3 linked regions of the Arabidopsis thaliana genome follow. The protein of the gene in region 1 interacts with the protein of each later gene in a pairwise test. Each region holds a gene or a part of one and is shown in the gene's direction. Other genes may lie near its edges. The genes, in order: HTA13, OFP8 and AT2G18670.

Evidence for each region.
Region 2: the proteins of HTA13 (region 1) and OFP8 interact in a two-hybrid assay, tested with the Arabidopsis thaliana proteins (one large-scale study listed by BioGRID).
Region 3: the proteins of HTA13 (region 1) and AT2G18670 interact in a two-hybrid assay, tested with the Arabidopsis thaliana proteins (one large-scale study listed by BioGRID).

What each region holds. Positions count from the first base shown.
Region 1 is NC_003074.8:7,227,494-7,230,802, forward strand, and holds HTA13 (histone H2A 13), read left to right. Parts: upstream 1-1,896; 5' UTR 1,897-1,978; coding exon 1,979-2,167; intron 2,168-2,260; coding exon 2,261-2,470; 3' UTR 2,471-2,653; downstream 2,654-3,309. Other genes in the region: OCT4 (organic cation/carnitine transporter4), read right to left, coding at 606-1,017; AT3G20680 (plant/protein (DUF1995)), read right to left, coding at 2,654-3,309.
Region 2 is NC_003076.8:6,638,796-6,642,299, reverse strand, and holds OFP8 (ovate family protein 8), read left to right. Parts: upstream 1-1,891; 5' UTR 1,892-2,002; coding exon 2,003-2,668; 3' UTR 2,669-2,845; downstream 2,846-3,504. Other genes in the region: S1P (SITE-1 protease), read left to right, coding at 97-182. UniProt on the Arabidopsis thaliana protein: Transcriptional repressor that regulates multiple aspects of plant growth and development through the regulation of BEL1-LIKE (BLH) and KNOX TALE (KNAT) homeodomain transcription factors.
Region 3 is NC_003071.7:8,091,502-8,095,341, forward strand, and holds AT2G18670 (RING/U-box superfamily protein), read left to right. Parts: upstream 1-1,718; 5' UTR 1,719-1,967; coding exon 1,968-2,509; intron 2,510-2,947; coding exon 2,948-2,951; 3' UTR 2,952-3,278; downstream 3,279-3,840. Other genes in the region: PNP-A (plant natriuretic peptide A), read right to left, coding at 29-143; AT2G18680 (uncharacterized protein), read left to right, coding at 3,279-3,840; AT2G18685 (uncharacterized protein), read right to left, coding at 3,323-3,526.

The sequences.
Region 1 (3,309 bases):
TGGACCGCCTAATGGGTTAAAATTTTAAAGCATTATCATCCAAAATTTATAATATACTATAGAAATGAAAGGTATATCGGAAAAAAAGTGAGGTATATCTTTACTCTATAGTGTTATTTTCTAAAATTCGGATAATCATAAAAGATTCATGTGATCAAGGCACGTGGTACGAATATCCAGATTCAAGCCAACGTGCCCATTGATCTGCTCTTACTAATTTATTGGTGCGATCGATATACACTAGCTAAGTTATGCACACAACTAACAACTAATTTATTGTTTGTTGATATATTCATTAATTATCGGATAATCACGTAAAGAGCTAAATCCACTAAATTACAAGTTCATAATTTTAGAATGATTTTTTTTTTTGTCTTATCGAATTAGATAAGACACTCAGAAACTATACTAAACTCCTAATTATGTATTTATTTATTTTTCTTAAGAAGATAATCCAAGATTAGAGTTTAATCTTCTTTTTTTGACTGTAATTAGAAAAACTATTCGACGTGAAAAAAATCATTTTCACGCTACAGCTGTAATTTACTGTTTTTGTAATTTTCCTAAATCACAAAAAAAATATAGAAGGGAAAAAAAAAACTTACCGATCATGCAGCCGGCGAAGAAGAGAGCCTGAACAAGACCAACTTTATACTTGTCGCCGCAAATCAATCCCCACTCCGACACCGTGGAGCTCCCTTTACCCGCCGTCCATTCCCAAGAACTCGGATCCAACTCGCAGTTCAATGACCCGACCCGACAATCCGACCCGACGCATCTCCACTCGGGTTCTTGATCGGCAAATATCATCACCATCGTGTGGAACGCCTCTAAAGCCCAAGCAATACACGTCAACACGAAGTGTTTCAACTGCCACCTCCCAAACTCGCCGCAATATCTTTGTAACATCTCATCTATGCATAATCTCTCCTCTCCCTCCGCTTCTTTCTTCACCGGAATTTTCTCTAGCAGCGGTTGTCGGACATCGTTACCGTTTCTATCCTCCGGAGATTCCATAATTTATGTTTTGATTTTTACAGTGTTTTTGTTTTTGTGTTTGTGTTTTTGTTTAAAAGGCGTTCTTGATTTGGTTTGACGCGAAGAAGGAGGTGGCTTCTTTGTCGTATTTATATCTCTTGTTTATCGGAAAACAATTTTTCCTTCTTTTTTTCTCTAGCGTTTTTTATTCTCTTTTGATTTAGTAACTATTTTTTTTTGTTGACGATATTGACTACATGCTCTGCTTATATATATTTTAACTATGTCATGTTATTAACGTTTATGAGTTGTCACTTTGAAAATTAGTAAGACACATCATGTATTATTTCTCAAATTAGTATTGTACATTTCATTTCAAAGTCAAAAACACATGATTCTATATATGGTTGATTACCTAATGTGTAATCGTGAATTAGTAATTAATACGACATGCTAAAAATTGATTAATCATGTTTAGAAAAATATATACTATGATAAACCTGAAATTGTGTCACACAATTTTGATGAATGTATATACCACATTTCCATATTATACGTTTTAAAAGTAAGATTTTCATAAATTTTAAAATTATTCATAACATTCACTAAAATTAGATGTGTATAATTAACAAACTAAAAATATCATTAATCTACTATTTTAGTAGTTATTTTGCGAAAATATGTTTGAGTTACAAAATATTTTCACTATTTAAATCATGTCGATTATACCCACTGAAGGGTATTTCCGTCAATCCCAATTCTAACAATGAATTCAGGAGTATAAAAACGTAAATTCAAGCGTGCCAATTATAAACCGTCGATCATAATCTAATCCAACGGCAGTAACATCGATCCGCGTGATTGTTTATTATTGGATAAGAATCACTCAACCGTCTCTACACAGTATATATAATAACCAAAGAGCGTCCTCTTACGCTTATCTTAATTTCCCTCGCATTGAGAATTTTCAACTTTTTCTATCTCTCTTCCCAAATCACAAATGGCGGGTCGCGGCAAAACTCTCGGATCTGGCGTTGCTAAGAAATCAACATCGAGAAGCAGCAAAGCCGGTCTCCAATTCCCCGTTGGTCGTATCGCTCGTTTTCTAAAGAACGGCAAGTACGCAACACGTGTTGGTGCCGGAGCTCCGGTTTACTTAGCCGCCGTTCTCGAATACCTCGCCGCTGAGGTAATTATCCCCTTCTCTCCCTATATCTCTTTACTCTTTCGATCTTCAATTTCGTAAAACCCTAATTTCTAAATTGGATCTGTTGTGTTGTAGGTATTGGAATTGGCTGGAAACGCAGCTAGGGATAACAAGAAGACTAGGATTGTGCCACGTCACATTCAGCTCGCGGTGAGAAACGATGAGGAGCTGAGTAAACTGCTTGGAGATGTGACGATTGCTAATGGAGGTGTGATGCCTAACATTCACAGTCTTCTTCTTCCCAAGAAAGCTGGTGCTTCAAAACCTTCCGCTGATGAAGATTAGATTAGGGATTTGTGTTGTGGTTGTTTAGCTAATTAATGTGTAGCTTAGTCTTTCATTAGATTAGATCTGAATTAGTTTTCATTAATGGTGTTGTGTAGTCTCTCTTTTGCTTCAAAAACAAGTATTAAAATCTTATTATTTTGAATTGAATCCACAATCAATACACATTGAAGTCCTAACAAACTACTTCTTCCCAGTGATATTTGAAACCAAATCACTAAGAAACTTAGCTGATTTGGTAATAGGAGAATTCATAGCCATCAAGTTATACAGAACAAGCTCAACTTCTTCGATTGATGGTCGAGAATTGAATTGTGAAACAACTTTCAAAGTACCATTACCTTCTTCTTCTTCAACGAGAACATTCCATCTTTCTCCACTCACAACACCGTCTCTTACACACTTAAAGATCACTCCTTTTCTCTTACTAAACACTCCTCTCACTTCTAAGCCAGTGAACGCATAAATCACTTCAAAGGAACCAATAAAGCCATCTCCAAAGCTTTTCTCTTCTTCAAACAACCATCTCGGATTGATCATTACTACAGGTTTTGTAGAAAAAGCTTCACTCGCGGTCTTAACATCCTCCAGCTGCGATTTCTCCGGAGCCATGAAGATCGCCACGTCAGCAGATCTCAGAGCTGTTTTAAGAGAGTCTGAGACCGGAGACATGGCAATGTGGTGGATAGAGTCTGACCGGAAAGCTTTAACGGCGGGATCGATGAATGAAGGGTTAGGCCAGAGGAAGAGAAGCTTGACATTAGAGCCTCTTCTCGAGATGGGTAAGTCATGAAAGATCGAGAAAGCGAGCTGAGAGAGTGACGAAGGAGAATCATCGT
Region 2 (3,504 bases), on another chromosome or scaffold:
GAAGATATTTAGTCTCTTGCTTAACCTTTCATTGCATGATCAGTATGATTCTTGTTTCCAAAGTAGGTCATCAAACTTTTTCGGGTTGTGTTGTAGGAGTTCTAGTGCTACTAAGCATATGGAGAATCAGGCAGAAGAGGGGTAGGCGGAGAAGAGCATCAGGGTCGAATCGATTAGCCTAGCATATAGCCGTGTCTGGGGTCCAGTCTTTTTTCTACTGTCATTTACACTGACCACAGAATGTAGTCTCACTTTTACTTGGAAAACTGGCAATTTTGTTTTAGGTAAATCATTTTTAAAATCATCATTCAAAGAGCTAAAATATGTAGGAAGAAATACTAATTTCTAAAAACATTAGCCTCCACTAAAAAAAACAATTTTATTTGAAATGTATCATGCATACCCAAATTAGTGTAAACTTTTTGAAATTCAAATAGGAAGAGGCAGATAATATGGTCCCCAACCTGCCACCACACCAAAACCTAACAATAACGTAAAAAAGGTAAATTAGATTAGCCAATAAGCATATACACTTCCAAACATCAGACCTATCATTCCTCCTCCTTTTTTCTTTATAAGAAATATTTCAATTGTCCTTAGGAATTTGCATTTAGGAAGTCTGCTCTAGCAGCTGAAAATTAATAAATCATGCTAAATTGACTATATAGGCTATAGTGGTCCTCCACTTGGCCAGGTTCTCTGTTTTCATTGGGGTTCGATCCCCATAGTGGGATTATATGCATGGGCTGCTCCACTGGAGCAGAGGAAGAAAATTCATTCTTTGTTTTTTTTTTTTTTTTTTTCATTTCTTCAACATGTTGAAAGAAACGATTGTGGAGAAGATTTATACATCAGTGTTCGACTTCGATGGTTACATTAATGAAAATTAGTTTTGAAAAATGTTAGTAGTCGGATGGACACAACAATACCTAATCTTTATAGACATTGCAGTTTTAAAACTTTACCTTGCGACGACTAAACATGCAATTTGATTAATGATCATATTTCAAGATTTTCAATATATATTCATTTTATTAAACAAAAGTCCATTAGGATAGATGGAATGTTTTCAGTTTCATCAAACTACCATTGATGATTTCAAAAAGTAAATCTTATTTGCAAGTTTTGGAAAATTTTGTTTATTGGTAAATGAATCTCTCCTTTTTCTTGTTACGAAAGTCAATGTTATCTATTTTATTTACTTGCAGATATAATCTGACTTTTGGTGATCATCGTGCACAACCTTTCTGTGTAATTGTCATTTTCAATCATTTAATTTTGAATTAAGTTGCCTTTTTGAAAAAACGTTCATTCTCCAAAACCGATGCACGAATTCCGGGGAGAAGTTTCAATTATGCATCGTTAAAAAAGAATTCAGAATTGTATCACCAAAACTTTGTAACGTTAACGTAAGATTGACTATAGTACTTAATTACTTCTGGTACTACAATGCAAATCCTTTAAGTTAACAATGATAAAATCTTCCAAGTAGAAGAAGTTTTAACAAACTCTACTTTTTAAGTTGCCTGATAATGAGGAATTCGAAAAGCTAAAGAAACTGACTGTTATATAAATAAAAAAAATCAAAGAGAAACTGACTTTTACTAGTCTACAAGATGACAAACATTACAAAACAGTTTCATGTCAAATTTTCAAAATTAAAATATTTTAAAATTAGTGAAAAACGAGCAAAGCAAGGTCAAGCGTCTCTACCTAAAATAAAAACAGAAAGAAAAAAGCAACAAGGAAATTCCAATGGTTAATTTTTGTGTCAGCAATTCGAATAGTTTAAGATAAAGACGACAGTGAAATGACAAAAGACATTGCAGAAAGAGTTAAACGTAAAAAGTTGTAATCATTAAATTATCATAAATATTACGAAAAATGAATGCTAGTACAAGAAAAAACACAACAGAGAATTTATCTCTCCTTCCCTCAAAAGTCTTATATCACACGACTTTAATACACCATCTTCATTAGTCTCTCTCGATATTCTCTAAACATGGAGAAGAGAATGAAGCTCCGGGTTTCAAGAATAGTCCGGTCATCTTTAAGCTCTTGCCGACCACGAGATCTATACGACGTCGTCGAGACTTGTGCTGTTACAAGTAAAGCAACGTCTTCCGAGAGGTTCTTCGTTACCAAAGCCAAAACCAAAACTCCATCACGACCAAAGAGTCATGCTTCTTCTTGCCCTCGTGCGTCACCTATATTCCCACCAAACCCTTTCTACGAAGAGAGCCGTTCATTTCGAGATTTAAGGAAGAAGGTCAAGACAAACAGGAAGCAAAGATCGCAGTTTGGTTCTGACCCTCTCTTTGCCTCACGTTTTAAGTCAACCGGGTCTTGGTACTGGTCTTGTAGTGAGGAAGAAGACGAAGGAGACAAAGAAGAAAGTGAAGATGATGATTCTGATACTCTCTTTTCTTCTAGAAGCTTCTCCTCGGACTCTTCAAAGGCGGAGAGTTTTGCGGTGGTGAAGAAGTCAAAGGATCCATATGAAGATTTCAGGACGTCAATGGTGGAGATGATTGTTGAGAGACAGATATTTGCACCGGCTGAGTTACAACAGCTTCTTCAGTGTTTTTTGTCGTTAAACTCTCGTCAACACCACAAAGTTATTGTCCAAGTGTTCTTAGAAATTTATGCCACCTTGTTCTCTCCCTAATTTCTATATCTACTTTTTAACATCTTTTGCTAAAATGTACTATTTTGAGTCTTGAATCTTGCTTTAGTGGTTGGTTCTTTTTTTCGACTAGATTCTTTTGTTTTCAGATTATCTTTGTCTTAGCCTTTCTCTGTATTTTGATTTTCATGAACCAAATTGAGTTACTTTACAAGAAAACGGTAGGCCTTAAAAACAGACAGCGACATACCATTTAAAGCATTGAACACTTTATCAAGACCTAAAGAATTTTCTGCATATATTGTTGTGTACAGTTTATTAAAAAAAACAATATATAAACTAGACATAGATAAGAAAATTCAAACTTTTTAAATAGATTGAATACACATCATTTTTTTCTCATAGATATATATCATGAGTATCAAAATTAAATTTATTACAAAGAAATATATATTTATATAAGAAATCAATACTGTATCTTATAAATCACAAGTCCCTTTACCAATAGTATTGTGAAATGTGTCCATTCACAAAACAAAATTAATAAGAAAAACAAGTTTCTCTAAAATGTGACGAAACAACGGTTATTTTTTTAAAATAAATCCAAGTTTTTCCACGAGCCATATTTATAGGAGCATGAATTTTAAAAACAAAATAGAAAAATACAGTTATTTGTCTTTTTAAAAAAACTTCTATTGCGACATAACTTCTGTGCAAGATAGTACAGTATTTAATTTTTAGTTGAAAGCTTGACAAAAAAATGTCACATTAGCTTTAATCATATTGGCTAACATTGCCATTCATAGACACAAGATTTTCATTGTTATTAATCTTATAAAACTATTGAAGATAACAAAACATGTTATTCAAACGACTAG
Region 3 (3,840 bases), on another chromosome or scaffold:
AAACATATGTATAATTATATAGACGTACTAGTGTAGGGAGGGTCGTAATAGACAGCTTTTCCTTGAGCAGCTTCAGCGATTGGAGCTAAGATTTGTGCAAACACTATCATCACTACCACAAATTTTACTGCCATTTTTATCATTTTCTTTAACTTGTTTGTGAAATAACGAAGCAAAGGGAAGCGAGTATTTATATATAATTGGACTCAAAGACTGTAAGTAAAAGGAAAAGTCTTTGGTCTACGTCAAGTCTTCCATTACTTATTGTATTGATTTCATACAGGACAATTTGTTATTCCTTACTCCACCTAAATTTTCTTGGTGAATTGAATGAATATGAATATATGATGATGTGTGAAGGAAAATTCCACGAGGGTTTGAAATTTAAAGTTCATTTTTTTTTTCTTTGTGGATATTATTTTCACAAAGCTGCGAAGGAAATTTCGAAGAAACTAAGGAGGGTATTCTCAACATCACTTCGAATCCTACCTTGAGAAAATTCTCAACCTTACCCAAATCCAAAACCATCGGGAAAAGTATAACCGTCTTTTAAACCTTCTGATGAGTGTTAGGTTCTAACGTTAGGACCATCTACTAAAACAAAATGTGTTAATGAAGAAAGTCCCACATTAAAAATTAAAAATTATCAAATAGTATATAAAGTGTTAGGGTCACTCCACCTATTACCAATTGATTTTTAGTTGAAATCTCATATTAAAAGCCCAAATCTATCATGGTATCCGAGTCAGATTGTTCTTCAACTTTTCTAAACATATAAAAAAATAACTTGAACAAAAGGTAATAGTGAAATCTAGAATATTCTTCGGACTTCACGTACTTGCTCCCTAAGATATCTCCAATATTCGGTTTGTTACATAACACCAATAAAATTAGTCAAATGATGAAGTATGAAAAACAAATTTGCTTTATTGACCTCTTTTACAAGAGAAAGACAAATGTCTCTTCTTTATTTTATTTTTTTGAATCAAGACAAATTTCTCTTTGTTATCATGTCAAGTAAATCTGCGTTTATGAATTCAACATTCTGGAAAATAATTGGGCTTAGTGGGCCTTCAAATATCATTTTATGTAAAGGCCCAAATCTCTATATACCAATTAAACTTTCTATCGCTGAGAAAGAGATTTGATCAAATTAAACTTAAGATAACGATTGCCCTTACCGAGGAAGTTGCCTTTGTCGGCTTGTCGCTATAATTCATCAATCAAAGATTCAAAATATAAAAAATGAGATTTTAACTTTTAAGCATATGTCATTTGTGTTGTTATATCATCGTCCAAGTTTAAATTTACAAAACGTATATTGTTAAGAAAAAAAGAGAGCAAACCAAAAGAATGTACAAAATTTCAAAACGTCCGAATCAAACGACAAGCTATGTTCAGAACGAGTATTTAGAATTAGTAGCGATTCCATAGGCCTCCAAGTACGAATATTACTTTTAAAACTAAATTATAAGTTCGAATATTCCATCTTTTTCCATACTATGGTCTTAAAAACAGTGGGATGATGATATTTGCTTATCCTTCAAGATAATGTTTAAAATTATTGGATGAGAAGATATTTCTTATTATTTATATTTCTTGTAGACATGGAGCCAAAAAAATTTATATATATATATAAAAATTAAAATCTTTTATCACATGATCCAAAGCCCAAAAAGTAAAATAAAAAGTATCTCATCACATGACCATTTTTAACCAAACGTTACTGTCACTAAATGAAATCTATTTTTCTTTCTTAAATTTTGCTCTGACAAATATTTTTGATTGCGTCATTTTCTACTTTGGAAATGTCTTTGATTTAGCATTTCAGTTCGCTCAAAACATCAAATCTTACCTTCTTTAGCTTTCACATTAGATTCTGGTAATTATTAGCACAAAAAAAAGATAAGCCAGAATACGAAACAACCAAAAAAAGAGGAGAATTCTTTTTTTTTTTTTTCTTTCCGATGCCTCCGACCAATAATTACCGAATCTCCGGCGAACCACCGTCTACTACGCCGTCTCATCCACCGCCAAAACCGAAAACAAGGATTCTCTCTCTATTCCTCGTTGGTGTAATCATGTTTTCAATCTTCTTTCTCTTCCTCGTTCTTATCGGTATCGCCTCTGTTCTTATCCTCCCTCTCCTCCTCTCTTCTCTCCATCGTCACCACCGACGTCGTCGTCGTAATCGCCGACAAGAATCCTCAGATGGGTTATCTTCAAGATTCGTGAAAAAGCTTCCTCAATTCAAATTCTCCGAACCTAGCACATACACACGGTACGAGAGCGATTGTGTGGTTTGTTTTGATGGATTCAGACAAGGACAATGGTGTCGGAATCTTCCTGGTTGTGGACACGTGTTTCATCGAAAGTGTGTGGACACTTGGTTGCTCAAAGCCTCGACGTGTCCTATTTGCAGAGCTAGGGTTAGATTGTGGGAGGAAGATCCACAAGAAGGAGAATTATGGAGATGTTTTGGTCATAGAAGAAGTAGTTTGCTAGATTTGTAAGTGCTATGTTTCTTGTTTTTGTTTTGTTTCAATCATATTTGGATTAGAAGTTATAATCATTTAATAATGTTTTAAGCTCATTCAACATAGTTATAGTTTCTAACTCGTTCTTGATGACTAGTTCGTTGGAGGAGACTAATTGCTTCATTATTGGTTTATAGAATGATTAGAACCCTTAAGCTCTCGAAAAATATATAAATAGATAGATATGTAGTCGTTTTCAGTTTTAACACGGTGCTACAGAGTTTCTTGACCGATTCAACACGAATTGTTGAACATGTTACCGAGCTCTTGTTTTCTCTCTTTAACATCTCTATTTGTGTCGCTGTCAGGAAGTAATTGTTTAGACTTTTCATCGATGTGTTATACTTCGGTTTCTTGTTCTTGAATTTGTCTAAGTCTTGGTTTCTTTCGTTTGATTTTTGATTGAATAGGTAATATTGTGTGGTTATGTAGACGTGGACTCAGTCTAATGGATGATAAGAATCTCCAAAACTGAAGCTACGAAGAGGTACAATACAAGCCAAGGACTCTTTCCTCCATAGAGAAGTAGCGGGTCGATCTTATGGTAATATATAAGCACTAAGCAGATGGGCGTTTGATCATATAAACCCTCACTACCATTACCAAAAAGCAATAGCCAAGAGCTTTTTTTTTCATTTTCTTTTTGAAAGCCATGGATCGGTTTTCGTTCTTGAATGTTATAATGGAGGTTGCGGGTATTCTAAATGAATCCCGCAAACTCTCCTCAAGAACAAAAAGTTGATGTTCTCAGTCTTGGTATTCCCTCTCTTACTCAATTGTTTAGTTTACTTGTTCAACGCCATTGCCATCAAACCCGAGATAACAAACTTGATCCTTGAATCAAGTTTGTTACCTATGACAGATCCAAACACCCCGGAATTTGCTGCCCATCTTATGAGAGTCTTTGTAGATTTTCGCCAGTTTGTCAATTCTTTATACATCTTCATCGCCGTCTCCTCCATCATCAACCTTTTATCCACTCTTGTCATGGTTCATGCATCGGCTCTTACTCATAAAGATGATAGCTTCGAGATCAAAGATTTTCCGATTCTGACGCTTAAATATTGGAAGGGACCTCTTGTGACCAATTTCTATATTGTTCTCTTCAGTCTTGGCTATTGGTTCCTATTCTTTATAGTCCTATTTTCTATCGTTTTCTTCTCTACAAAACTCGATTCCTTGGCAGCCAAATCTCGCGCTTTATTCATTGTATTTGCAGTCTTTGAGTCTTACTTAGCTATCGTTTGGAACTTATCTATGGTCATATCGATACTCGAGGATACTTATGGGATCCAAGCTTTGG